Macaca fascicularis: one gene and its partners. The protein of the gene in region 5 purifies or fractionates together with the protein of the main gene of each other region. This does not show direct contact. Links are inferred from orthologs where the notes say so. Each region holds a gene or a part of one and is shown on either strand. Other genes may lie near its edges. The genes, in order: DCP1B, ATXN2L, PATL1, LSM12, DDX6, PABPC4 and G3BP2.

Evidence for each region.
Region 1: the proteins of DDX6 (region 5) and DCP1B purify together in Homo sapiens (affinity purification with mass spectrometry; 6 studies listed by BioGRID and IntAct, counting the BioPlex papers as one, with this or other methods). This does not show direct contact. The link is inferred for Macaca fascicularis from reciprocal best matches to the Homo sapiens genes DDX6 and DCP1B.
Region 2: the proteins of DDX6 (region 5) and ATXN2L purify together in Homo sapiens (affinity purification with mass spectrometry; 6 studies listed by BioGRID and IntAct, with this or other methods). This does not show direct contact. The link is inferred for Macaca fascicularis from reciprocal best matches to the Homo sapiens genes DDX6 and ATXN2L.
Region 3: the proteins of DDX6 (region 5) and PATL1 purify together in Homo sapiens (affinity purification with mass spectrometry; 6 studies listed by BioGRID and IntAct, with this or other methods). This does not show direct contact. The link is inferred for Macaca fascicularis from reciprocal best matches to the Homo sapiens genes DDX6 and PATL1.
Region 4: the proteins of DDX6 (region 5) and LSM12 purify together in Homo sapiens (affinity purification with mass spectrometry; 5 studies listed by BioGRID and IntAct, with this or other methods). This does not show direct contact. The link is inferred for Macaca fascicularis from reciprocal best matches to the Homo sapiens genes DDX6 and LSM12.
Region 6: the proteins of DDX6 (region 5) and PABPC4 purify together in Homo sapiens (affinity purification with mass spectrometry; 3 studies listed by BioGRID and IntAct, with this or other methods). This does not show direct contact. The link is inferred for Macaca fascicularis from reciprocal best matches to the Homo sapiens genes DDX6 and PABPC4.
Region 7: the proteins of DDX6 (region 5) and G3BP2 purify together in Homo sapiens (affinity purification with mass spectrometry; 3 studies listed by BioGRID and IntAct, with this or other methods). This does not show direct contact. The link is inferred for Macaca fascicularis from reciprocal best matches to the Homo sapiens genes DDX6 and G3BP2.

What each region holds. Positions count from the first base shown.
Region 1 is NC_088385.1:2,850,892-2,855,046, reverse strand, and holds the start of DCP1B (mRNA-decapping enzyme 1B), read left to right. Parts: upstream 1-1,355; 5' UTR 1,356-1,381; coding exon 1,382-1,531; exon of another isoform or gene 1,532-1,643; intron 1,644-4,155. UniProt on the Homo sapiens protein: May play a role in the degradation of mRNAs, both in normal mRNA turnover and in nonsense-mediated mRNA decay. May remove the 7-methyl guanine cap structure from mRNA molecules, yielding a 5'-phosphorylated mRNA fragment and 7m-GDP.
Region 2 is NC_088394.1:27,641,933-27,645,432, forward strand, and holds part of ATXN2L (ataxin-2-like protein), read right to left. Parts: intron 2,566-3,500; coding exon 2,365-2,565; intron 1,895-2,364; coding exon 1,719-1,894; intron 1,549-1,718; coding exon 1,438-1,548; intron 319-1,437; coding exon 106-318; intron 10-105; coding exon 1-9. UniProt on the Homo sapiens protein: Involved in the regulation of stress granule and P-body formation.
Region 3 is NC_088388.1:14,377,503-14,381,002, reverse strand, and holds part of PATL1 (protein PAT1 homolog 1), read right to left. Parts: intron 3,483-3,500; coding exon 3,265-3,482; intron 1,898-3,264; coding exon 1,808-1,897; intron 849-1,807; coding exon 668-848; intron 418-667; coding exon 294-417; intron 1-293. UniProt on the Homo sapiens protein: RNA-binding protein involved in deadenylation-dependent decapping of mRNAs, leading to the degradation of mRNAs. Acts as a scaffold protein that connects deadenylation and decapping machinery.
Region 4 is NC_088390.1:65,113,234-65,117,436, forward strand, and holds the start of LSM12 (protein LSM12), read right to left. Parts: upstream 2,801-4,203; 5' UTR 2,711-2,800; coding exon 2,587-2,710; intron 1-2,586. UniProt on the Homo sapiens protein: Nicotinic acid adenine dinucleotide phosphate (NAADP) binding protein. Confers NAADP sensitivity to the two pore channel complex (TPCs) by acting as TPC accessory protein necessary for NAADP-evoked Ca(2+) release.
Region 5 is NC_088388.1:117,654,560-117,658,746, reverse strand, and holds the start of DDX6 (probable ATP-dependent RNA helicase DDX6), read left to right. Parts: upstream 1-1,387; 5' UTR 1,388-1,644; intron 1,645-2,099; exon of another isoform or gene 2,100-2,166; intron 2,167-2,574; exon of another isoform or gene 2,575-2,791; intron 2,792-4,187.
Region 6 is NC_088375.1:195,330,754-195,334,750, forward strand, and holds the start of PABPC4 (polyadenylate-binding protein 4), read left to right. Parts: upstream 1-1,197; 5' UTR 1,198-2,035; coding exon 2,036-2,228; intron 2,229-3,997.
Region 7 is NC_088379.1:58,233,092-58,235,950, forward strand, and holds part of G3BP2 (ras GTPase-activating protein-binding protein 2), read left to right. Parts: intron 1-514; coding exon 515-643; intron 644-1,203; coding exon 1,204-1,322; intron 1,323-2,260; coding exon 2,261-2,533; 3' UTR 2,534-2,859.

The DNA of each region.
Region 1 (4,155 bases), on a different chromosome or scaffold from region 5:
GTTACATTAAAAATCCATTAGTCCACCTTGTCCTGGAATGGATCTTTTGCCTGTGCATGATTATGTAGCATGAGACATCAGTCATTTGGAAAATACTGGACCACTGAGTTAAGCAGATCTCTGAGATACTGACACTTTCCATTACACAAGATTTGTTAAAATTGCACTCATTAATATCATCATTGATCTCATCAGAAAAAAAAACGTTAAATATTGAGACGTTGTCAAGCTCATGGCAGCAGATACACATTTTCTAAACTTTTCATTCTGGCTTGAAGGCTTAAAAATTATCATTGGCAGCAGTAATTGTCCCTTGTTTTCCTGAAAGTGACAGGCACACTTTATTTATTTTCAGGAAAATGTCTGTCAAGTACCTGTTTGAATAATCATAGTTTGCCCATCTTTCTTTCAAGTAAAATGTTTTATGAAAATAAAAAAAAAAACATGAATTCGGCCCACAACTCAAGCACAGAAGTATTTTCCTAGAGACAAGCATGACACACTTCATTTTGTAGCAGACGTGCTTTATGCCTATTTCCTATTTTTTTCATGCAGAATACTAAAAAGAATGGTACCCAAGGATTAAGCTTCAATAAAATTTATAATTTTTACTGCTTATCAAGAACACCATCAGGTGACACTGGCTCTCTAGCTTTTTTTTTTTTTTTTAACTGAGAATGCAGGTTAGTGACACGTGCGTACTTTCACTAGCAATACAGTTTGGTGTCCCTGCCATGATTGGGTTAAGCCACCAGCACTTTTAACCACCATTGTCTGCAAATCCTCACCACAGTGAACAAGTCAAATAAGTAAGTCTTAGCATTGTCATCAAAAATTTTTTTTTTTTTGACCTTGCAGATCCCCTGAAAGGGTCTCAGAAACTCCCAAGGGGTTCCAGGACCACACCACACTTTGAGAACCACTGGGTGTTAGCGCATTCAGAAATCAATTCAGTTCTCTTTCTCTTCAGAGTTCTTGATGCTCGAGGCTTATTTATTGTGATAGGTCTGATCACTGAAGCGCCAAAGAAAAGATATGCCAAGGCGTCGAACACATCCAAGAAGGAAGTCCTACCGCGCACACAGCTCAAAGGCTCGAGCGTGAAGAAAAACAGCTCTTGGAGAAAGAAACGGGATGCAGAGGGCAGGCCTGGGCTTGTCGTTGCCAGTGGCAACGATCCTCAGTGGGCGGAGCGCGGCCATCGATTAGTGAGGCCTTGCGTCAGTCGGCGGGCGGGAGGGTGTGGGTGACTGGAGCCGGAAAAGGCCTCCCGGGCCTTGTGGTCGCGGTGGGTTCTTGGTAGCGAAGCAGCTCGCTCGTTCTGCGATCTATTGAGAGTGGCTTCCAAGAGCCCCGTGCCTATGTCGGGGAGGGAGGGAAGATGGCAGCCGTGGCGGCAGGCGGCCTGGTGGGGAAGGGGCGCGACATCAGCCTAGCGGCCCTGCAGCGCCACGACCCCTATATCAACCGCATCGTGGACGTGGCCAGCCAGGTGGCTCTGTACACCTTCGGCCATCGGGCCAACGAGTGGGTGCGTGCGGACGCGGCGGAGCAGTGCAGAGCAGGGTTGGGGTGGAGGCGGGGGGCGTCAGACTCAGGACAGGAGGACCCGGTGAGGGGGAGGAGACGTTGAAGCCCTGGAGGTGGGTGGATCTGGGGCCTGAGGCCGAAGTTGTGGAGATGCGCTCCCGGGGGTTTGGGGGAAGGGAGGCGGATCTGTGGAGCTACCTGGAGTTGGGGAAAAGACTTAAATCTCTAACGTACCCAACGCTGGGAGACCAGACCGATCGGGTACCGCACCCTGAGAGCCGAAGGAAAGGAAGGACCTGATGCCTTAAGGTCGGAAGACCGATGTGCTCGAGACAGTAAAGCAGAGTTCTGTTACAGTGAATCTGTGGCTATGGGGGAGGCAGGGACAGCAGATGAATAAAAGTGCAGAGTTCTGATTTTGGAATGTCAGTCTTAGATGGGACAAAGAGAAATCAAAACTTGATAGAAGGGGAGAAATCTGCAAGTTGTAAACTAGGGAAACGCCAAGAAAAGAGCCAACCTCGTCAAATAAAAGACAAAATGGGGCAGGGTCCAACACTTAGAAGGAGGCTGATGCTCTTGGGAGGATTATTATACGACAGCCCACCAAGTTTGATATTGGAGGCCATTTGGGAGCCAGATTATTTTAGTGCTCTTCTCAAAGCAGAGTCTCAATAAATGGTAATGGAATGAAATTTCATTGTCCTCACAGTTAGAATGGGGTAGAAGCCTAGAACACTGGAATCCTGTTGCAGGAATTGCTGCTTGTAATTTTGTAACCCACCCACTCGAATGTAGAGAGATGTAATTTTATTTCTTTCCTCATAATGATTTTTGTCCAAATAATATTCATCATCCATTATATATTGCCCATTAAATATCACATATATGATATCCATCATTTTAAAATAAGTTACAAAACAGTATGGAGAACTTAGCCTTGATGAATGGATTTCAGATAAACTTTTTGTGTTCTTCAAGTCGGTTGTATAAACACCAGAACTTAAGCAAGGAAAACATCCATGTTGAACAACTCTGTTTTTTTTTAACACCCACATTCATAAACCTACTTATCTCCAGTGTAGTTCAGCAGCCTGTAGTAAAAACTCACCTGAAAATCATTAACATAAAAATAAAAAAGCAAGCAAGAATGGGATAGACAAACAGTTTTGCCCAAAGTTCTTAACAGAGGAAATTTACAGGAATGGGGCAAAGAATTTAGGTCTGCGCTCCTAGTAGCCAAACTCAAAAGGAGAACAGGAAGAGCTCTTTAATATTCATTCTTCTGTAATAGAAAGCCTACCACTTAATCAGGAGAAAGGTTATTTCCCCCTAGTTTCCAGGGGCATTTGTCACCTAGGTCTTTACATAAAGAACATTGAGCAACATAGTAGACAGTTTCCTCCATGGTAATTAAAAGTATATATGAAGATATTCTACATAAGGCTGTTTTGCTGCTGTGTAGAAAAATGCCAAAGGCATAATGTTATAATCCTGTAAAAGTTAATTCCATAGTAGAGAGATGAGGACCAGAGATGTATAGTTGTGTAAATTGACTTGACACTGGGATTCGAGTCTGGAGCATCCTGAGAAACTATTAATATAAAGAAAGTAGAGCATTTCTCTTGAATAATAGTTGTTTCCTGTAGGCTTTTGACCGTTATCTATGTGATAGATACCTTTTAAGATAGTTACAGATGTTTATTAGATACCTAAAGCCTCATCAAAAAGCAGATGTGTCACAATGCATTATTTACAGGAGTTATGTTTTCCTGCTTGCTGGACATGTTGCCTTCAGACAGGGTATAATTCACTCAGGAAAAGGTCATTCTTTCAAAGTTCTAATATTCAAGGCTGTCGTAGCCAGAAAAACAAAGAGAGAGACCTAGTTCAGCTGCAGAGCAGTTGCTGGAGGCAAACAAATTATGACCACTGTCTCCATGTGCTGTCACTCTGGGTGGGAGCCATTTGAATGTAAACCTAATAAGAATATGAGAACATTCTTGAGAAGAGAGGAGAAAGTATTTACAAGAAGGCAGGGAAGATGTTAAAGAGGGGAATTCTTATTGCCCTGAAAATGGATGAAGAATGACTTCAGCCTTTCAGAGGAGGAGAAATTAGGAAGGAAAGGTGTATAGAAAATGAACTGCTTTAAAGAAGGATTAAGAAAGATTATGTCATGACTGGAATAGGAATTTTAGAGTTAGATCTACTCCCTGTTGTCAGGAAAGATGCCCCCCTCCAAAATATTAATACCTGTGTGTCAATTGAAGACCATAGCCCTGGTATTTTCCAGCTGTCAGTTCTTAGACCAGTGGCTCCCAGCTGGAGTTGATTTTGCCCCCAGGTGACATTTGGCAGCGTCTGGAGACGTTTTTGGCTGTCGCACTGAAGGGAAGAGTGTTAGGACATCTGCAGAATAGAGGCCAGGTGAGCTGAGCCTGAAAACTGCCCTACAGTGACTGAGGTTGTGTTCCGAGCTAGTGGTTTTCTAAGTTTTTGGTGTAGCCAATTAACTCACAGTTTTTTTAAAGTGAAAAATGCCAAACTAAAACCTCTGGATAATGAGACCCAGGCATTTGAGATTGTTGAAAGCTTCATAGGTGACGCCGATGCTACATGCAT
Region 2 (3,500 bases), on a different chromosome or scaffold from region 5:
GTTCTTTTACTGTGCAAGGAGAGGGAAATGCCTAAAAATCCTTCTGTCCAGAACCACAAATCACACTAAATATGCATTAATGGCACTCAAACACCTAGCTCTTACCATCTGTGGGGGCCAGGGAGATCTTTGGAGAAGCTGGGGAAATGGAGCCCACTCCAGGATCTGAGACTGATGAGGTCACAGGGATGGAGGCTGAAGAGGTTGGCACTGCCGAGCCGATGGGAGGCTCAGGACAGGAAGCTGAGATTGGGGCAGGGGCAGCAGACTTGGGAGAACGCGGGGGATATATCCGGCCCACTGGAAGAAAAGGGGGAGCTGTAGGACGGTTACTGCTAGTCAACAGCAGTGAATACAAGGGCCTTACTCAAAACAGCAAGAAAGTTTACACACTATACAACCAGAGTCACCAACTTAAGTGTCTAGAAGGCCAAGGCAGGTAACACAACCAGGTAAATGGCCTCATGGGCATCATCGGTGACTGGAATGCTTAAAGGGGTGGCTGGGATTCTGTCCCAGTCAACCTGAGCTATGCAGCAAGGCAAGCTCAGTTGGCAGAACTTCCTGTAATCCAAAAGAAACTAAAATTTTCTATGGCTTCTACTGTTTTATTTATGTAGAGACAGGGTATCGCTCTGTTCCCCAGACTGGAGTACAATGGTATGATGCCATCTCACTGCAACCTCAGCCTCCTGGGCTCAAGCGATTCCCCGCCCCCAGCCTCTCAAGTAGCTGGGAGCACAGGTGCACGCCATCAGGCCTAGCTAATCAATCTTTTTATTTTTTGCAGAAGGGTTTTGCCATGTTGCCCAGGCTGGTCTTGAACTCCTGGGCTCAAGCAATCTGCCTGCCTCAGACTGTTTTAAAAGTTAGCAACTGGCAGGATGTGGTGGCTCATGCCTGTAATCCCAGCACTCTGGGAGGTGCGGTGGGCGGATATTGAGATCAGGAGTTCAAGATCAGCCTGGCCAACATAGTAAAACCCCGCTTCTACTAAACATACAAAAAATTTAGCCAGGCGTGGTGGTGGGCGCCTGTAATCCCAGCTACTCGGGAGGCTGAGGCAGGAGAATCGCTTGAATCCGGGAGGTGGAGGTTGCGGTGAACCAAGATGACGTCACTGCACTCCAGCCCAGGTGACAGTGCGAGACTCCGTCTCAAAAAACAAACAAACCAAAAGAAACCCCAGAAAAGTTAGCAACTGATTCAAATCTAAACAAAGGATGTCTGCCAAACAGACACAACCTATGAATTGCCAGGTTGAGATTTCTGCACTAGGGAAATTAAAGAACTATTTCCCAATATGACTAAATCCCAAACGCCCAAAATATCTATCTTAAAATTATCTCCCATTCCAGCATTTGTAACAACTGGACATATTTATATCTCTTTACAAATTTCCATCCATTTCTTCATCCAACACTACTAAAGCTTTACCTGCAGGAGGAGGTGGAACAGAAGTTTCTCCAGAAGGCCTATTACTGGGTGAAGACAGAGTCTTGGCACCTCTCAGAGGCCGCTGTGCCTTTGGGGACATGCGGGAAGGGCCTGTTTTTTTTTTTTTTTTAAGATGAAGAAAACGTCAGAGGAGGCAGATGACCTATTATATTCCCACCGATGCAGTGTCATTCCAACCCATCCAAACCCCTCCAGTTACCCTCCTACCTCCTCGGCATCCCCTTCCCTGCCCTGCCCCTCAAAGTCACCTCATAACTCACCTCCATTGATACCACGGGCCTCAGAACCTGGGCCAGGACTGCTATTGTCCAGATGGTGAGGGCCACGAGGTGGCAAAGAGCTAAGGCCAGGCCGACCGCCCCGAGAGCTGCTGCATCGAACTCCTCCCCGGGGACCTTCTCGGACTCGCTGAGGCAGAGGGATATACTTCCCCTCCCTGAGGAAAGAGTTCAAATAAGGCCAGGTAGCCACGAAACTCACGTTTTCTTCTTCTTCTAAAGTCTCTCCCTTCTGCCCCCAAACACACATACACTGCCTGGCTCCAGCACTATTCCACTTGAAGATCTGCCCCAGTTTAATGTTCTATGGCTACAGACTTATGACCTTATGTGACATCAACTCTGAGCCAACCAACCTGGCCAATGCTCCACAATTCTACAACTCCTGACCTATGACAAAGTTAGGATCACACCATAGTTTCAAGGACAGTTTTTGTAAAACACAAGGAATCCAGTTACATTTCACTTTTATAAGAAAAAATAGCACATATATAAAAATGAATACAGAGAAAAAGAGAACGTAAACCAAAATTTTGAAACTTTAAACCACAGCACCCATCAATTCTGGGCCCAGGCCCCAGGACACTCCCAGAAGCCCCAAATAGTCCTGGCTGTTCACGACAGTCACCTGGATGCCAAGCTGGGGCTCTCCCGACCCGAACCCTGCCGCTGGACCGCACTGTGCTTCTCCTCTTCAGTGCGCCCATCATCGTTCTCCATGGCGATCCGCAGGCGGTACTGGGGGCTTGATTCAATCTCTCGAGCCAACTGGGCTGCACGCAGCTCTCGCTGACGAAATTCTTCTGAGTTGTCCTTTTCTAAGGGCACCCTGAGACAGCACCCACAGACCACCACCATCCCAGTGCCAGGGGACAAAAGAGGAAAAAAGAAAAAACACTTCAACAACTCCAATCACCAGTTCAGGCATGTAAGTATTTAATCCTTTCTTTTTTTTTTTTTTGAGACAAGTGTCTCGCTCTGTCGCCCAGGCTAGAGTGCAGTGGCACGATCTCGGCTCACTGCAAGCTCTGACTCCCGGGTTCACGCCATTTTCCTGCCTCAGCCTCCCGAGTAGCTGGGACTATAGGCGCCCGCCACCACACCTGGCTAATTTTTTTGTCTTTTTAGTAGAGACGGGTTTTCACCATGTTAGCCAGGATGGTCTCGATCTCCTGACCTCGTGATTCACCCGCCTTGGCCTCCCAAAGTGCTGGGATTACAAGCATGAGCCACCACGCCCGGCCAGTATTTAATCCTTTCAACTCAACATCTGGGTAACGGGCACCGACTGCGTCCCAGGTAGAGCACCAGTCCTAGGTAGAGCACCAAGGCTTATCTGGGAATGTCAGGAGCACTTACGTGCTTAAAACCTTTGAGGGAGGCTGGGTGTGGTAGCTCACGCCTGTAATCCCAGCACTCTGGGAGGCCGAGGTGGGCGAATCACTAGGTAAGATCAAGACCATCCTGGCTAACACGGTGAAACCCCGTCTCTACTACAAATACAAAAAAATCAGCCAGGTGTGGTGGCAGGCGCCTGTAGTCCCAGCTACTCAGGAGGCTGAGGCAGGAGAATGGAGTGAACCTGGGAGGCGGAGCTTGCAGTGAGCCGAGACTGCGCCACTGCACTTCAGCATGGGCTACACAGCGAGACTCCATCTCAAAAACAAAACAAAACAAAACAAAACAAAACCTTTGAGGGAATAGTTCCACAAGGTAGAGTAAGTAGGAGCAGGGACGGTGACCCTGGACACCCAGAGAAAAAGG
Region 3 (3,500 bases), about 100 Mb from region 5:
TTATCACAATAAAAAATCTAAAGTATTTCCCCCTTATTTTAGGGGTACTGAAAATTAGAATACATTTAAAAAATCATGAAATCTCAAGTAGAAAAGGACCTGAAAAGGCACATGTCAACGCGTTCAGTCCAGGCTCGAATAAAGGCTGAGTTTTGCATTTATTAAGGACAATGGTACTTTAAAATCACTTTGAAACGTCTTTACATATCCGTCCACATATACACTTGTCTATATTTAATCAGCGGCTTCTCAAATTTCTTTTATTATGGGCATTTTTCTTATGAGGACCTTACCTGGCTTATAGGCGTGCTCCAGTTTGGCCACCTGAGGGGTGATAAGCTTGGTGCGTTCCTTCTTAGGGCCATCACCTTGTATTTCTTCAGCAGCTGACAGTTTCTCCAGTTTTTCAAAGTAATTCTACCATGAGAGGATGATTTCGGTTGTAACATAAGCACAGAACACGACTGTTGTTTACCATCAAATAATTTATGCCAGTGACAGTAACACAAGTTCAGTTCTAGAAATGTACTGATAGTGAGTAGTGCAAGAGGCTAAGTATCTCAAAAGAAAATTTTACAAATATTTAATTGTACCAATATTTAAATGAATACCCTTACCAGTGTAGGGGACCAAACTATTATCCTCAAAACTAGCACAGAGTATTTACCTGGTAATAAAAATCATCCAGGTAGGGATCAGTGCTTTGCAGTTGCATCATCTGGATTTTGGAGACCCAATCCTTTTCCCGCTGCAACATGAGATTGGCATATGGATCCTTTCGGAGATGATCTTGATGACTGCTCCGGTGACTTCCTCTATCTCCTGCACCATTGAGATTCCGATGCTGACTGAAAAACATACACCACATTCACTCCAAGTGGGCAAATTAATTACGCTTTTTAACACAGAGGAATAAATGAGGCCAGTTTTTTTTTTTTTTTTTTTTAAAGATTCCCCTTGCTTTTCTTAAAAGGGGAGTGAAAAAGAACTAAGTTTTAATAGAATTTAAGAGGAAAGAGCTATGTAATAAATAATCAAGAAATAAAACTAAGATCTGAGTACCTTTCCATATGCTAAGCATATTCACCTATGGACTTTTGTATAAGCTCTAGAATAACTCTGTGAGGTAGGTAGTTTTCTCTTCCCCACTTAAGACAACAAACCGACGCCAAAGAGAGATCAAGTAACTTGTCCAAAGCCATACATCTAGTGGTGGACTAAGGGATTTTGACACAGGCGATTTAGCTCTGAAGTATACATAAATATTTTAAACTCATTAAAAATCACGAAATATTTCAAATTCAGAGAAAAAGCCCAGCAAATACTATAATAAATATCCATTTACCCATCACCTAGACCTAATAGAAAAAAATGTATTTGGTTGAATTTGCTTCAAATATTTTAAAGTAATATTAAAATAACACAGTGTTACACTGACAGAGGCCCTGTTGTACCCCTCTAGACCCAGTTTCCAGCTTCTCTTCCTTCATAGAGGAACCACTATCATGCCTTGGTATGTATCCTCCCTGAAATGTTTTTGTACGTTTATTACTTGTGTGTCTGTGTTTAAATATTACACAGTATTATTCTGTGTGCCTTTTAGTTTTACATAAATGGTACATGTAATTCCGTTCCTTGCTTCTTTACTCAATATTATGCTTTTCATATTTACATGTTGATAATACATTCAGGTTTACGGATACGAAGTAAACTTACAAAAAAAACAAACAACTAAATAGCATGTTGTTACACTGTCAAAATTAAAAGCTGAATTAAGAAGCCATAAAGGAGTTGGATGAGTACTTACTTTCTATTCTGTTGCTGTCTCTGATACAAGAGTCGACGGTGCTGTGGATGAAGGTGAGTTGTGTCCGGTCTAAACACTGGGGCCTGAGATCTAAGAAAAATGGAACAGAGGTTCTCAGTTTGGTCATCCTGATGATTTGAAATTTTAAAGAATGTTGTCAGTACAGGATAACTTCATACAGGTTAACTTAAGGGACTACAAAAGTCTATTCGGGCTGGGTGCAGTGTGTAATCCCAGCACTTTGGGAGGCCAAGGCGGGTGGAACACTTGAGGTCAGGAGCTCGAGACCAGCCTGGCCAACATGGTGAAACCCTGTCTTTATTAAAAATACAAAAATTAGCTGGGTGTGGTAGCAGGCGCCTGCAGTTCCAGCTACTTGGAAGGCTGAGGCAGTAGAATCGCTTGAGCCTAGGTGGCAGAGTTTGCAGTGAGCCGATATCGTGTGGGTCACTGCACTCCAGCCTGGGAGGCAGAGTGAGACTCTGTCTCAAAAAAATAAAAAAATAAAAAAGTCCATTCTAAGGAGACCTTTTAGAAGCAAAAGATAGTCATATTTTTACATATCTTCCACAAAGACCAAGTTCTAAAAGGGTGATCATGAAATCTGAGTGAATTAGGAGTAAAGCAGTATAATTCTTTTTCTTTTTGCTTTTAACTGTTTAACAGAAGTCTCTAAGTAGGTTTAACATACTCAGTTTCAACTATGTGGGAATATTATTAAAGATATATGTGTGATAGTTAATATGACTAGGCCTTAGTACCCAGTTATTTGGTCAAACACTGCTTAGATGTTGCTGTGAGGGTATTTTGTAAAGATGTGATTAACATTTATAACAAACTAAAGTTTCCCAGAAGAAGGAATTCTGCCTCAAGAGTGGAACACAGAAATCCTGCTTGAGTGTCTTGACTGCTGACCTGCTATACTTATTTCAAACTCAAGACTGCAACTTGAGCTTTTAAAAACTGTTTCTTGCCTGCTGGTCTGTCTTACGGATTTCGAACTTGTCAGTCTCTACAATCACATGAGCCGATTTCTTAAAATAAAACTTGCTCACATGAACATTCTTGCTCTCTTTCCTCTACTGGTTCTCGGGTGTCTCTTGAAAATCCTGACTGCCACAATACGATATGTAATAAAACACAACTTCACCGAAACAGGAACTTGAACCCCTTTTGTTATAAAACCAGAGGATAAAAGCAAACAACTTAGCTAGTGTGAAGATTAGCTGACTTTTCAGCATCTGTTGCTCTATTCCATACCTTCTGGTAATGTGAGAAAAATGTGATTCACAAGAAAGCCTGGAGATTGTCAAACATTTCCATGTTTGTCAACCTGAGGATCCAATAACATCTTAAAATTTATTAGTTAGCAAATATCAAGAGACTTATAAAACTACACATCCACAATCAAGAGACTTGGCTGATAATTGATAAATAGTGGCATTGATTTTGTATACCTTAGGTTTTGCAGGTGGGGTCCTGGGCCAGGAGGGTGCTGCTGTGGAGGTGGTGTAGCGGAGGGTGGAGCACTAAAGAAGGCACGGAAGCCTGGTGCTGGGGGAAGCATCTGCCCAACTCGCCCTTGTAGCAACTTGGGATTCATGGCAGCAAGTGGACTACCAACAAATCCAGGCACCCGTGCAAACTGGCTGGGAGACATCCGTCCAGGCTGTAGCTACAAAGAGGAAGATCT
Region 4 (4,203 bases), on a different chromosome or scaffold from region 5:
AAACTACACACTGGAAAGGAAATTCACCCAAGGTGATCCAGCCAGTTAATCCATTCATTCATTCACACATTCATTCTCCAAACATTTAAGAGCCCACTGTATGTCAACTAAAAATTGAGTAATTCAGCCAGGCGCAATGGCTCACGCCTGTAATCCCAGCACTTTGGGAGGCTGAGGCAGGCGAATCACATGAGGTCAGGAGTTCGAGACCAGCCTGGCCAACATGGCGAAATCCCGTCATTACTAAAAAAAAGTTAGCCGGGTGTGGTGGCACATGCCTGTAATCCTGGCTACTCTGGAGCCTGAGGCAGGAGAATCACTTGAACACAGGAGCCAGAGGTTGCAGTGAGCTGAGATCATGCCACTGCACTCCAGCCTAGGTGACAGAGTGAGACTCCATCCCCCCAAAAAAAAAAAAAAAAAGGGTATTTCCTAGTTTCAAGACCCTTCCAACCAAACCACTAATGTAAAAGGTCTTATTTCTTCCAGGTGTAACCTCTCATTTTTTGAAAAAGCAACTATTGTTAGCACGGTGGCTCACGCCTGTAATACCAGTACTTTGGCAGGCCGAGGCGGGCGGATCACGAGGTCAGGACATCGAGACCATCCAGACTAACACAGTGAAACCCTGTCTCTACTAAAAATACAAAAAATTAGCTGGGCGTCGTGGCGGGTGCCTGTAGTCCCAGCTACTCAGGAGGCTGGGGCAGGAGAATGGCACGAACCTGGGAGGCGGAGTTTGCAGCGAGCCAAGATCGCACCACCCACCACTGCACCACTCCAGCCTGGGCAACAGAGCAAGACTCTGTCTCAAAAAAAAAAAAAAAAAAAAGCAACTACTCTTACTATAATTAGTTTCAAAGGACATCTTCCTAAACTAGAAATCTACAAGCAGTGGTTAAATGAATTAAAATACTTGCCACTCAAAGGCAGCAGACTCAGTAGGAAACTTCATTTTGAAAGATGCCATGGCCGGGCACGGTGGCTCACGTCTGTAATCCCAGCAATCTGGGAGGTCAAGGCAGGCAGATCACCTGAGGTCAGCAGTCTGAGACCAGCCTGACTAACATGGAGAAACCCCGTCTCTACTAAAAAAAAAAAATACAAAATCAGCCGGGTGTGGTGATGCATGCCTGTAATCCCAGCTACTAGGGAGTCTGAAGCAGGAGAATCGCTTGAACCTGGGAGGCGGAAGTTGCAGTGAGCCCAAATCAAGCCACTGCACTCCAGCCTGGGCAACAGGAGTGAAACTCCGTCTCAAACAAAAAAAAAAAAAAAAAAAACAAAGCCGGGCGGTGTCTCAGGCCTGTAATTCCAGCACTTTGGGAGGCCGAGGCGGGCAGATCACGAGGTCAGGAGTTCGAAACCATCCTGCCCAACATGGTGATACTCCGTCTCTGTTAAAAAAAAAAGATACAAAAATTAGCTGGGCGTGGTGGCGCGTGCCTATAATCCCAGCTACTCCGGAGGCTGAGGCAGGAGAATCGCTTGAACCAGGGAGTCGGAGGCTGCAGTGAGCCAAGATCACGTCACCGCACTCCAGCCTAGGAACAGAGCGAGACTCCATCTTTAAAAAAAAAAAAAAAAGATACCATAAAAAATTACTCCTTCAAGATTCCAATAAACCCACCTGTAGCTCCCATAAAAGGGGAAGCTGTGGCACATTTATCCCAACAAGAAGCGTTTCGTTTCCAAGACTGAGTTTCCTGGAGTAATTCAGAAGTCATTCCCACCCCAAAGAAGCAGGCCACCTTTTCCAATCAATTTAACATTGCTGCTTTCAAAAGGGAGGCTGCTACTACTACGTAAAAGGACTCCATGTGCTGGACTGATCAAGGCAGCATGAGAACTTCACTCTTTCACCTGTAACTCACACATCCCCAACCCACATAAGCCCCGGCAAGCCCTCTCTGGAACAGGTTTCCAATGCAAACATCCCCCAAACAGCGATTTCCAAATGACCGAGAAGCCTAAAAGTCAGAACAGCCCCCCCACCACCACACATACACACGCATCAGCGAAACAAGCCACTATCCCCAGTTCAGATACAAACTCTGCCCTGCACTTACTCTCCCCCAAAACAGGCAAGGACCAATTTGGTCACCATCCCACCGCCCTTCCTTGGACGAAATCCCATCAGTGCACATGCCCTCCTAAATTCTATACCTTTGCCCTATCAGCAGTTCCTTACCCTAAACATCCCTCCCCATAATATTTCACCCGCCCCTCCTTTCCATCCGGGCTCCAATCCACCAGCCCCCTCCCAACACCACCCCCTCTCCTAATCACTGTGTCCCCTCTCATAACGTTCTTCCCGAAAAGCCATCCCCGTGTCAAGCCCTCCTCCACCCACTGATCCTCGGTAAAGCCCCAGCTCCCGCAAGGGGAGACAGGATCCCCAAAGCTGACCGAAGGGCCCGCGGGAGGGGGAGGGGAACTCAGGGCCATGCGCATGCGCCCCGGGCGCCGCGGTAGCCGGTCGCCCCTAGGCCCGGAGAGAGCCCCAGCCGCCGCCGTCGTCCCCCACCCCCCGACCACCGCACCTATACGCCGGCCCGGACTCGGGCTTCACGCAGGGAAGGATACTTAAAGCCAGCATTTTGGATTGGTAGTCGAAGGCTACCACCTCGCCCTGCAGCCGCTGCTCCTGGCACGTCCGGCACGACACCTGGCTCCCAACGCTGAAGTACTCGCCCGGAGGAGCCGCCATCTTGGGAGTGCAGCCGCGGCCGGCGGCGGCGGCGGCAGCAGCGGGCGAAAGCCGGGCCCCTAGTGAGCGCCGCGACGCGACGCGACGCACGGAGCGTGCTTGCGTCACACGCCGGGGCGTGGTCTGACGCTGGGTGGCTAGGGAACCTAGGTGGACTAGGGAAGACGAGGAAATAAAGGGGAATCTGAAAGATATTTGTGTAGCTGCGTCCGCTCGGTTAAATGCTTGTAGAGTCCATTTTAGAAGTTAAGGATAAATGACCTACGTGGAATGAAAGGGGGAAAGAGGAGAGAGCTGCAGTCTCCATTATATGCACACCTTCCACACAAGAGTTTAATGAATGAATTTTATAAAATATATTAACCCCATTTTGCATATAAGGAATCAGAGCCTCAGAGGACTTAACAATACTTGGACAAGATGATTATAACGGCCAGGAGCGGTGGCTCACGCCTGTAATACCAGCACTTTGGGAGGCCGAGGCAGGTGGACCACCTGAGGTCGGGAGTTCGAGATCAGCCTGGCCAAGATGGTGAAACCCTGTCTCTACTAAAAATACAAAAATTAGCCGGGTATGGTGGCGCGTGCCTGTAATCCCAGCTACTAGGAGGACTGAGGCTGGAGGATCGCTCGAACGTGGGAGGCGGAGGTTGCACTGGGCCGAGATCGTGCCACTGCACTCCAGCCTGTGCAATAGAGCAAGACTCCGTCTCAAAAAAAAAAAAAAAAAGATGATTGTAACTAGAGAGTGATAGTGGAAAGAACATTGGCTGTGGAGTGAGATAAGCCGGAACCAGAATCCCAGGTCAACCTATTACTAAATCACCTGACCTTGAGTAAGCAAATTACCTGATCCTGTTTCTTCATAGGCATTTGTATTGTCACTTCTTGAGCATCTAACAGCCCTTTGAGGTAGGTATCAATGTCCTCCTTTTACAGAAACTATGTTTTAGACTAAACTTGTCCACGGTTCCACAACTAGCAAAAACAGTCTACCTATTTACAAGGACAGTGCTATTTACTGCTATACTGTGTTAGATAATAATACCTACCTCATAGTTAGGAGGTTTAAATGCGATAACGTGTATATGTGCATGGCATGTACTAGGTCTTTAATAAATGGTAGTTCCCCTTTAGTCATCCATTATTCTTAGAAGTCAAGACACTTCCTCTTCTTCCTTTTTGCCCTCTCCCCCAGAAAGCCAGGCAAAAGGCAGGAATGAGGAGCAGCAGATAGTGACAAAGAGGAACTTGGAGGAGGGGTTTTGCACCCCTGCCCTTTAATGTCCATCTGATATACAAAACAGTCATTTTCTTAATCTTATGTAAAGGACTATGTGCATGTATTTTCAAGCCCTACCAATTGCTGTCGCTAATCCACCCACCCCCACTATAGAAATTTTGGATCCTCGCTTCATGTATGAGAAACAGGTTGACCTTTCTGTAGTCCAGAGGGAGGCAAAGGACCAGTCCTGGCGCAGCTTAACCTGAAC
Region 5 (4,187 bases):
CAAGGTGCAAGGCTATTTCCTTACATGAGCAGGTATTTTAAAAGCTGGGCAGGAGACGCCATACTGTAAATTTAAAATTTAAAAAAAATTTAAGGCGAACCTTCTTTTTAACCTTAAGAATAGTCTTCACTATTCTCCGCCACCTTCCCACTGGCTGTGTAGAAATAACGACCACCAGATGAGAACAGGCTATTTACTCAGAGCTGGCAAGGGAGTCAGCCGAGACCCATCACTTGGTTTGGTAGACTCATAGGCAGGCAGGGGAGTGGAAAAGCTTTACATACAGTGAAAAAAGTGAGAAACTTCAGGCTGGCTCTGATTGGAGGCTCCCGGCACCGGGAAGTTGGAGGAGGGCTAATTAGAAGCAGGGCTTCTTATGTGATTGGTGTGAGGAGCACATTTGGCTTTCTCTGATTGGCCCAGAGCTGGAAGCAGGGGCAAGAAATAGGGAAGCGGCCAGCTAAAGATCAAGTCCTGACCATTCTGGGCAGATTACTGCAGAGGTCATGGGTAGGAGGTCATGGATAGGTTTGGCCATTCTTTGTATACTCAAGTCTCTCAATTGGGCGAGACCCAGATATTGTTTCGCTTGACCTAGTTAGCTTTTAACTCCAAAGTTTTGTTTAACTTGGAAGAAGACAGCAGTTCTATTATTTCTGTCAAGGATAAACAGAGACATTGGGATCTGAAAAGTAATTATGGAAAGATAAATAAATATCTTTATAGTGAGGGTCAGCCAGGAGGAATCACCCTCTGCCTTCAGGTTCTCCATTTCCTTACTGAATTCCTACTTCCATTATAACGGACGATTCAGTAGCTTCCCTCCCTTTGGGGGAGGGCCCGGCCTCCTCCGCTCCCACTTTCTTGAGTTCTTGAGTCTTGCCCTTCGACGGCAGGAGAAGAGGGTTGCGCCCTACCAACTCCTCACTTTACAGTCCAGCTTCTCCCCCCACCACTCCGGTGAGCTACCCCTGCTCCATGCGTTCCGGAGTAATCCCCCTCAGTCGCACTCTCACAGCCCGGCCCCTGCCCCCGCCTCATCCCCAGCTGTGCCTTCACCTCCCGGTTGCTCCCCAACAGGTCCCCCAAGATACGCCCTCACAGTGCGGTCCCCCGCCGTCCTCTCCCGGCGCACGCTCAAGCCCGGTGCCTTCCCCCCGCGGCCCCCCGAGGCGCACCCTCAAGCTCGGTGCCTTTGCCCCACCCAGCCCCACAGGGGCGCCCTCAAGCCTAGTACACTTCACATGAGAGCCCCTGGGGCGCACCCTCAAGCTCGGTGTACCCCCCCATACAACCCGCAGGCGCGCCCTCTTGCCTGGAGCCTTCCCCCGCCCAGGCACACCCTCAAGCCCGGTGCCTGCCCCCACCCCCAACCAGCCCCCCAGGCGCACTTTCAAGCCCGGAGCCTTCCCCTAGCCAGGCGCGCCCTACTGGCCCGCCCTGCCCCTCCGCGAAGCGCCCCCCGCGCGCTCCCTGGAGTCCTCCCTCCTGCCTGTCGCGGCCTCCAGGCCCGGTCGGCCCCCCTTCCGGCCCCCACACTCAGACGCGTGCCCCGCGTCTCCGGGCCGCTAGTCCCGCGCCTTCCTGGATGGACGCGGCCCCTTACGCCCGGCATCAGCCTCCCCGGCTAGCACGAGAAGTCAGGTCAGCTTCCTGTCCCCGAGCAGCTGCCCGGGGGCCAGTTTTCAAAACATAGCCTTAGACATGTAATAAAGAGATGCTCCTCTGGTCTCAACTCCCTATTTTTACTTTGGAGGGGCGAAGGCAGGGCTACCCTTGCCAGCCACCATTCCCCAATCACTTCGCAGCTGTGGAAAAGCAGCCGTCCTGTCCCTTCAGAAAGGAACTCATATTTCCCCCTCGAACTTTTCTCGTCGGTGTGAGAGAAGGGCCCTCCATTTTCTCCTCAGGAGGCTTTTGCGGCCCGGCTTCCTCTCACCACCAGGCCGGGAAGGCAGTGACGCCGCCGCGGATGTAGCCGCGGCGGCCGAGGTTTCGCCATCTTGAGTGGAGGAGGAGCCGCGGTCGCCGCCATGCGGAGAGGCAGGGAAAGAGGGAGGAGGCGGCGGGCAGGCGAACGGGCGAGCGAGGGAGGGGACAGAGGAGCCGAGTTAGCTCAGCCCGGCGGCGACTTCGGCGGCGCCACGAGAGCGGGCAGCGGAGGAGGTAGGGCTGGACGGCCGGGGGAGCCGGCGGCGCGGGCGGCTGGGCTGCGCGCCCCTCGGAGCCGGGTGGGGGCGGGGGCGGGAGGAGGCCGTAGCGAGGGGGCCGAGTGGGGGCGGGCGGAGGTTTCCGAGGAGGAAGGAGCGGCCGCCATTTTGGGAGCTTCGAGTCAACAATAAAGGACCGAGGGTGCCGAGCGGGAGTGGCCTCCTTGGTAGGACACGGGCCCGAGCCGCGAGGCCTGGGGTGAGGTGGTGGGGTCGAGGTCAGCGGCGCTGTGGGGGCTGCGGGGAGTCTCCCGGGCCGGCTCTGGGGGACTCTCTTGGGCGGAGGCCTAAGGCCTGGCCGGGCCTGGGGAGGAAGGCGGGCGGCAGCTGTGTGGGGTGGGGGCGCCTGAGAGGAGGCGAATATAGGAATGTGGTGCGCGGCAGGGTCGGCAGGAGGAGCAGGCTAAGTACTCGGAGGAGCTTTATCGAAGATGAGGGAATATGAGGCCGAAGGGGGCGGCAAGGACTTAGGGGGATGATGGTGGAGGTTATAGGGTACGAGGCGGCCCTATAGGGGGCGGCAGGGACATGCTGTATTGGAAGGCTCGGTTTAGAAGCGAACTGACCGCTGCTTGATTGCGGTAGGCCTTGCAGGTCAATAACAAGAGGGTGTATATGGAGCCCCAGACTCTTGGAGGAAAGGAGGGGGATTTCTGGGTTGGGGGGTCCCTTTGGGGCCTTCTTGGGGGAGTCCCTATTGTTTGCTACTGATGGAGCTGGTTGCCGGTTCATATTGCGCAGATAGGATTGCAGAGCCCCAACCTTTTGTGTTTATGGTCAGAGGGAGCTGACTTGACGTGTGTGTGTTTGGGGCGAGGGGCAGCAGGGGGGAGGGCAAGAAATTTCCCTACAATTGTGGGGCTCCAGTCATTGACTTGTCTCTTTCCCTTATCTCTTTCTTTTCCCTTCCACAGCCCCCCTTTCCCTTCAGAATAAAACCCAGTCACTCCAACTTGCAGGCAAAGCTTAGAAAAACTGCGCTGCATTTGCAAACAAAAGCTCTTGTTGGCGATGACGATACTGTTTTGGGTGTGAAACTGTCAATTGCTAACTATGATCTGAGAAGTGCTGTAATTAACTCCGCTAGGGGCTCCTCCCAACTAGTCTACGTTTCTAGTCTGTTTCTCGTTTTTTTGTGTTTTGTTTTGTTTTGTTTTGAAAATGTAGAAAGATAACTTGAAAATATAAATTGGGAAGGAATAGGAGGAATATTTCCTTCTCTGAGACAAAGCTGCAGTGCAGGTTTCAGTTTAAGGGAGCAGTTATCACATAGTCTCATTTTGGATTTAAGGATATAGGAGGTCTTACTGTGCATGATGGACAGTAATGATGATATCGTTCGGTCTTTAGAGGTTGCCCTTTTCATCCTCTTAGTGCTCTGCAAACAGCTAAGTCTCTGTGTGAACTGCGTGATGTCGCTGATCATAATATAAACCCGTCAATACAGGAAAGTAGCTGTTAACCATATCTGCTTAAGATGTCAGAAGGACTTTAAAGTAAACAACTTTGTGTATGTGATAATCAGGATTTGCTTGTGAGCAACTTGTTCTTTTTTTTTTTTTTTTTAAGGAAGGCATAATCAAGGAGCATTTTCTCATAAATTTTGAGATCTGTTGACTTTAAAATTTTGAGTTTCACATGCCTTGGTGTATGGCAGAAAGAATCAGCACTTGTAAGCTGTGTATTTTATGTAAGAAATGTGACGGGGTTGCTGGGTGCGGTGGCTCACGCATGTAATCCCAGCACCTTGGGAGGCCAACCAAGGCAGGCGGATCAGCTGAGGTCAGGAGTTCGATACTAGCCTGGCCAACATGGCAAAACCCTGTCTCTCCTAAATATACAAAAAATTTAGCTGCGCGTGGTGGCGGGCGCCTGTAATCCCAGCTACTCTGGAAGCTGAGACAGGAGAATCGCTTGAACGCAGTAGGCGGCGGTTGCAGTGAGCCGAGATAGTGCCACTTCACTCCAACCTGCGTG
Region 6 (3,997 bases), on a different chromosome or scaffold from region 5:
ATTATCTCAGTTCACCGCAACCTCTGCCTCCACGGTTCAAGCGATTCTCCTGCCTCAGCCTCCTGAGCAGCTAGGATTACAGGGGTTTCTTCATGTTGGTCAGGCTAGTCTCGAACTCCCGACCTCAGGTGATCCACCTGCCTCGGCCTCCCAAAGTGCTAGGATTACAGGCTTGAGCCTGGCAAGTGATATGACTTTCAAATGACCTGCCAGACCCTGATGCAGATGAAAAGTCTTTTTATAATTATCCAAGCGTATAAGAAACTTTAAACATAGGAGTAGAAAGTATTTCTGGGCCCTTAAATACAAACTAAATGTCCGGGAATGCCACCAGCATGTCAATAGAAGGGATGCTTGTGTTTGGTTTCATTGAAGCTTTACCAAAATGTGCTCATCTTTTCAGAAAATCCCATCACCCATGGATACTGCTTGCATTTCCAGCTCTTGACGATTCTACCTCTAGGCCAACAGTATTCTGAAAACTTCACAAACATTTACCTATTGGACCACCTATTACTTTAACTTATTTTATGTCACCTTCATTTCACAATTAGGCTTACTATCTAATTTTTTTTTTTTTTTTTTAGATGGAGCCTCGCTTTGTTGCCCAGGCTGGAGTGCCGTGGCTCAATCTCGGCTCACTGCAAGCTCCGCCTCCCGGGTTCAAGCGATTCTCCTCCCTCAGCCTCCTGAGTAGCTGAGATTACAGGCGCGTGCCACCACGCCCGGCTCATTTTTTGCATTTTTAGTAGAGACTGGGTTTCACCTTGTTAGCCAGGATGGTCTTGATCTCCTAACGTCATGATCCACCCACCTCGGCCTCACAAAGTGCTGGGGTTACAGGCGTGAGCCACTGCGCCCGGCCCCATACCATTTAATTTTAAACCTCATGCGTGTGTGCAAGTTAAATGGCTTCTAGGTTCCATTCCCGGGTGATGGGTAGGAGGGTCTTAAGATTCATTGGTTATAGAAAGGGGCCCTGGGGGTCTCCTGCAACCGCGAGCTTAGGCGGTCCTCCGCGCGCCAGGGGTCGCTGTGGCGCCGCGCGGCCGCGCCGGGTCGCTCTCGCGTGGCCGCCCCGCCTCGGGCCCCCGGGCCGAGTGGGCGGGCACGACTGCGCCCAGGTCGCGAGGCGCCCTTCGACCAGCAGCGCCCGGGGCGGGCGGGTATAAATGGAGCGGTGGCTCCCTCGGCCGCCTCTCTCCGCCCCGGGTCGCTGCCGCCTGCGCCGCTTTCGGGCTCCGCAGCCTGAGGAAAAAAAGAGAAAAAGATAAAAAAAAATCCGAAAACGCTTCAAAATCCTGAAAAAAAAAAAAAGGAAAAGAAAAAGCGAATCCTCCTCGGAGAACCCGCGGGGAAGTCACTTTCGCACGCTTCCGGCCTGCCCCGCGCCCGCCGCCGCCGCGCTTGGCGTCCGTCGGTCTCCGTCCATCGGTCCGGGGGTGAGCCGCCCGCCCGGCCCGTCGCGCCCTCCCCACGCTCGGGCCCGAGCCCCGCGCCGGCCCCGGCGCACCACGTGTCCGCGCTGCCCTTCGCCGCCCGCCCGGGGCTCGCCGAGTCGGCGCCCACAAAGATTTGGTTTCCCTCTGCCCCGGCGGTTGTAATCTTAAACCGCCGGAGCCCGAGGCCTATATTTATAGAGAAACGCGTGTCCCCGGGGCCGCCGTGGGTAGCGTCCGGTCGCCTCTTAAAGGATTTTTACCGTTCGGAAGGGGATTCCCCGTTTAATTTTTTTCCTACTTTGATTTTTTGAAATTTGGAGCTTCGCACCAGGACCGCGGAGAAGTGCAAAGTCGTGGGGAGGGCCGTATTGTGCGGAGAGCCTTTTGTCTGCGGTGCCGCGGCCGTGGGAGCCGGCCCCCGCCTCCCGTTTCCGTCCCATCTCCGAGCCCGCCGACTCCAGCTCGTCCTCGCCGCCCCGGTGCCACCTGTGAGCCGCGGCGCGGGCCCGGGCTCTGAGGGCGCCCCTTTTGTCCTGCGGCGGGCCCGATAAGAAGTCCTCCTGGCGGGGCTCGGGGTGGTGGGGGGCGGGGAGATGAACGCTGCGGCCAGCAGCTACCCCATGGCCTCCCTGTACGTGGGCGACCTGCACTCGGACGTCACCGAGGCCATGCTGTACGAAAAGTTCAGCCCCGCGGGGCCTGTGCTGTCCATCCGGGTCTGCCGCGATATGATCACCCGCCGCTCCCTGGGCTATGCCTACGTCAACTTCCAGCAGCCGGCCGACGGTGAGTAGAAGCTGTGCCCACACGTGCGTGGGAGCCCGGCGGACCCCGGGAGTCGTCTTCTGGCAGGGCCCTCCTGCCAAGGAGGGCAGCATCACGACAGCATGTTGCCACCGAAGCTTGGAGCAGGGTGCAGAGATTGAGAACGCAGACCTGGCATCAGATGACTCGAGTTTCAATCTTGTTTCTACCACTTGCTAACTGGGTGACCTTGGGCTACTTACTGGTGTTGCTGGTAGTAGGGTTGGAAACCAAGGAAACTGTAAAACAGGATTAGAGTGAAGCCACTGGCATTCCACTGTGTGTGGTCCTTGTCAGTGGGGCTGGGCTGTTACAGACCCTTGCTTGTGCCCTTCACAGGCTGGCCAAAAAGGAGGGACGTTTGAAACACAATTCCCGCAAAAGTTCTACATTGTAGAGTTCCTGCCCGCTCTGCCACCTTTACTAACCTTGACTATCTGATGTTGTGCTGATAAAGGATGGGTCAGGGCAGGCAGGAAGCAGGGGGAAGGTTTCTGTGCGTTAAACTAGCAGAGATTTAGGTTAGTGCCACAGGAGCTGCGTGTGCCAGGCCAGCTCCTTAGTCTGTGTGTTTGCCACTGGAGTGGAGAAGTGCTTTGCGCTGGACAAATGGTATCCAGGCTCTGTGCTGTAAAGAGTGTTGTGGAGGTAGTTTGGGGAAGCGTCACTTGAAAATCTGGTGGCATTTGTCACCTCAGCTGTAACAGTGGTTTGCACTCATCAGAGCCCTTTTACTTCATTTAATCTGAAGAAAATGGGACTCCTGAGAAGGAAAAGGAATGCAAAAAGTTGGAAACCAAGTTGGGACTCCCAGCACAGTGCTCTGCCACCTCAGATTGTGGCCTTAGCATGGAGAGAGGTATGTTGCAGGCGTGGCAGGAGTGAGGCCAAAGGAAATCTGATCAGAGGCTGCACGTGACTCCAGATTAGAAGGGAACAACTGCAGAGATCATTACTGGGAGAAACAAGCCATGCTATGGCAAAGGATCTCCAGGTCGCTAGTTTTGAGGTCCCCACTTTGTTTTCTGTCTGAGGCCCAGAGTTACTACTTGCCCAGGTTGCAGCTGAGACCAGAGAATTGGACATGTTAAGAGGAACTAGGTATTGCTACCGTCAACCCAGTATGCTCCAAGCTGAGTTCTGTCTATGGCTATAGGAGCGCAAAGAAGGTAGCTGAGTGTGGTCTTTTTAAGGGATAATGTACCACATTAGCTGTTGTCTGCCTTCTTGACTTTTGAACAAAAGTCATGTCACTTAGAGATAGCAGAAGCCATTGGTCAGTGTGTCTGCCAACACATACTTCTGCAGGACTTCTCCCTGCTATAAATAAGTGCAGCCAGATTTGTCAGACTAAGCCGGCTTGCCTTGTGCAGTGCTGTCTGGAAATAGACGAGGAGCTGTGTTGAAATGGGCTCCTTTACTGCTAATTAATGAAATAGTTTGCGATCCCAGCTATCTATCTCTGATCGCCATCACAAGCAAACTCCTCCTTTCCTGGACTGTTCCTGACTTGGATCTGTCTTGTCATCTCCCCTTTTCCCAACTGCCCCCCATACAGATGAGCCCACCTTCTGAAGGGGGTGGGGAAGTTTGTTGGAAATAATGAGTGAAAATAAATTCTCCTGGTTAAAGAAACAGTTGAGCTTGTGGAGCGTCAGAGTTGGGGAATTTTGTCCCCCCCCTTAAGTGAGATGTTGCCTTGAGGCAAGGAGCAGATTCCACTGCTCTGACCCTGTCTAAATCCCCTCATG
Region 7 (2,859 bases), on a different chromosome or scaffold from region 5:
TCACTGTGTTCCTCGTGTTATTGGGAGAATCATAAGATTTTATGTGTATATATATACATATACACTAATATGTATAGACTACATAAATGTGATAATTCCTGTTAAAATTTACTGATTTGCTGTAATGTCATACAGCCAAAGAATTTTGAATTTCAAAAGACTAAGCAAATATTTAGTAGAGCTGTACCTCACTGTCTGAAATCTGCTTGGTTCCTGGGTGATGGCAACAGTTTGGTTAAGGAGGAATACCTGTACTGGTATTTGATTTTTGTATAATCCAGTAGATCTAGAAGAAGCTATTTTAGCAACCTAGTCATTGTCCTCACTTTACATTTTAGTGTCATGCTGTTTTCTAACCTACTAGTAATAAGTAGTTTTGCCTCTTTTTCAAGAAGCTCACCAACTCTTATTAAACTAAAACAGGAATATCAATATTGTGATTTTTACATTCATTCTGTTGAAGTAGTTTTTATGATATTGTAAACTTTAATATCTGCTCTATTTCTGTTCTCAGGCAGAGGAGATATGGAACAGAATGACTCTGACAACCGTAGAATAATTCGCTATCCAGATAGTCATCAACTTTTTGTTGGTAACTTGCCACATGATATTGATGAAAATGAACTAAAAGAATTCTTCATGAGTAAGTGATTTATTTTGCTGTAGAAGTTTTTAAATTATTTTAAATTAAGAGGCATATGGAGCTTTTTAAATGACTATTTTAAAAAAATGTTTCTCTGTTTATACTGTGTCCAGCTACCAGACTCACCTTAATTGTGCAGAAGGGAGTAGGCTATCTCAGATGTTTCTCAGTGACTGCTTAGTGTTGATTTCGCCTGGCTCGACAGTGTTTAGAAGAAACAGCTGGATAAATCAGTCATAAATTCAGAGATAAAGAATTCATTTGGCAAACGGGTCAATATATTAGGAGAAAACACATTGTCTTTCCAGAGTTACACAGTTTACGTATGAAAGGACTAACAAAGATGCAGAAAGGTAACACAACAGGCAGGCAGGCTACTTGGTATCTTAGGTGATTGCCTGCTTCAGTAAATGTAGGTTGGCTATCACTGTGTGTAGAAGCTTGCAAGTTTTATTTTAAAATGGATCAGGGAGATTAAGATTATTCATCCTGAACAGTTTGAGCCATCAAGGTATTCTGTTAAAAATATTTAACCCTTGATGTAATGTATATTTTCACAGGTTTTGGAAACGTTGTGGAACTTCGCATCAATACCAAGGGTGTTGGGGGAAAGCTTCCAAATTTTGGTTTTGTGGTTTTTGATGACTCTGAACCAGTTCAGAGAATCTTAATTGCAAAAGTAAGTGATTTAAAGGGCATAATTCAAGACTTTATTATTTTGTTGTATATATTAATTTGGGGTATTTAAAAACCATAGAAAATCTTTTAATAATAAAGCTAAAAATAGTTATTAAATGGTATTTATGCAAAGAATAAAGATTTGTTAGCAGTTTGTGGATCATTTTAAATTTTGTTACTTGCTTTGCTGAAGAAGGTGGGAAAGATTGCATGTTAAGAATTTTGGCTGGGTATAGTGACTCACACTTGTAATCCCAGCACTTTGGGAGGTTAAGGCAGGAGGATTGCTTGAGCTTAGGAGAGTTCAAGACCAGCCTGGGCAACAGTGAGACATTGTCTTTTTTTTTTTTTTTTTGAGATGGAGTCTCGCTCTGCCGCCCAGGCTGGAGTGCAATGGCCGGATCTCAGCTCACTGCAAGCTCCGCCTCCCGGGTTCACGCCATTCTCCTGCCTCAGCCTCCCGAGTAGTTGGGACTACAGGCGCCCGCCACCTCGCCCGGCTAATTTTTTGTATTTTTAGTAGAGACGGGGTTTCACCGTGTTAGCCAGGATGGTCTCGATCTCCTGACCTCGTGATCCGCCCGTCTCGGCCTCCCAAAGTGCTGGGATTACAGGCTTGAGCCACCGCGCCCGGCCAAGACATTGTCTTTACAAAAAAAGAAAAATAGTCGGCCATGGTGGTGGACACCTATAATCCCAGCTACTCAGGAGGCTGAGGTGGGAGGATCACTTGAGCCCGGGATGTCAAGGCTGCAGTGAGCCATGCTTGTGCCACTGGCTGTCACCAGCCTGGGTGACAGCTGAGACCCTGTCTCTGGGGGCAGGGGGCTTATAAAAGTGTTTTGTTCCTTATGCTTATCTAACTTACCTGTTCAGAGTAATACATTTCTACTGCTGTCTAACCTGCCCGTGTAAATATTTTTCTCCTCTTTTATAAAGCCAATTATGTTTCGAGGGGAAGTACGTTTAAATGTTGAAGAGAAAAAAACAAGAGCTGCAAGAGAGCGAGAAACCAGAGGTGGTGGTGATGATCGCAGGGATATTAGGCGCAATGATCGAGGTCCTGGTGGTCCACGTGGAATTGTGGGTGGTGGAATGATGCGTGATCGTGATGGAAGAGGACCTCCTCCAAGGGGTGGCATGGCACAGAAACTTGGCTCTGGAAGAGGAACCGGGCAAATGGAAGGCCGCTTCACAGGACAGCGTCGCTGAAGCTCCACTGTTGGCAAAGTCTTGGCAGTGGTACATTATTCATCGTGTTTGCATTCTTGTTAATTTTTTTTTTGGCTTTGGAATGTGACACAGCCTTTTTGATCATTTCTTTGATGTGAAAAGCATCTTTTGGTTATCAGTTAAATTGAGGTGGACATTATTTCCCCAATTTCACAACAGGATTCACATTGTTAATTTATAAATCTAGACTTGGAGAATTAAGGACTGAGAAATGACCATATCTTAAACTATCTACGACAAAGTGAACTTAAAAGGACATGCCCACTGAATTCAGGTCCTTTGAGTCAAAAAAAAATCTTCTGCTG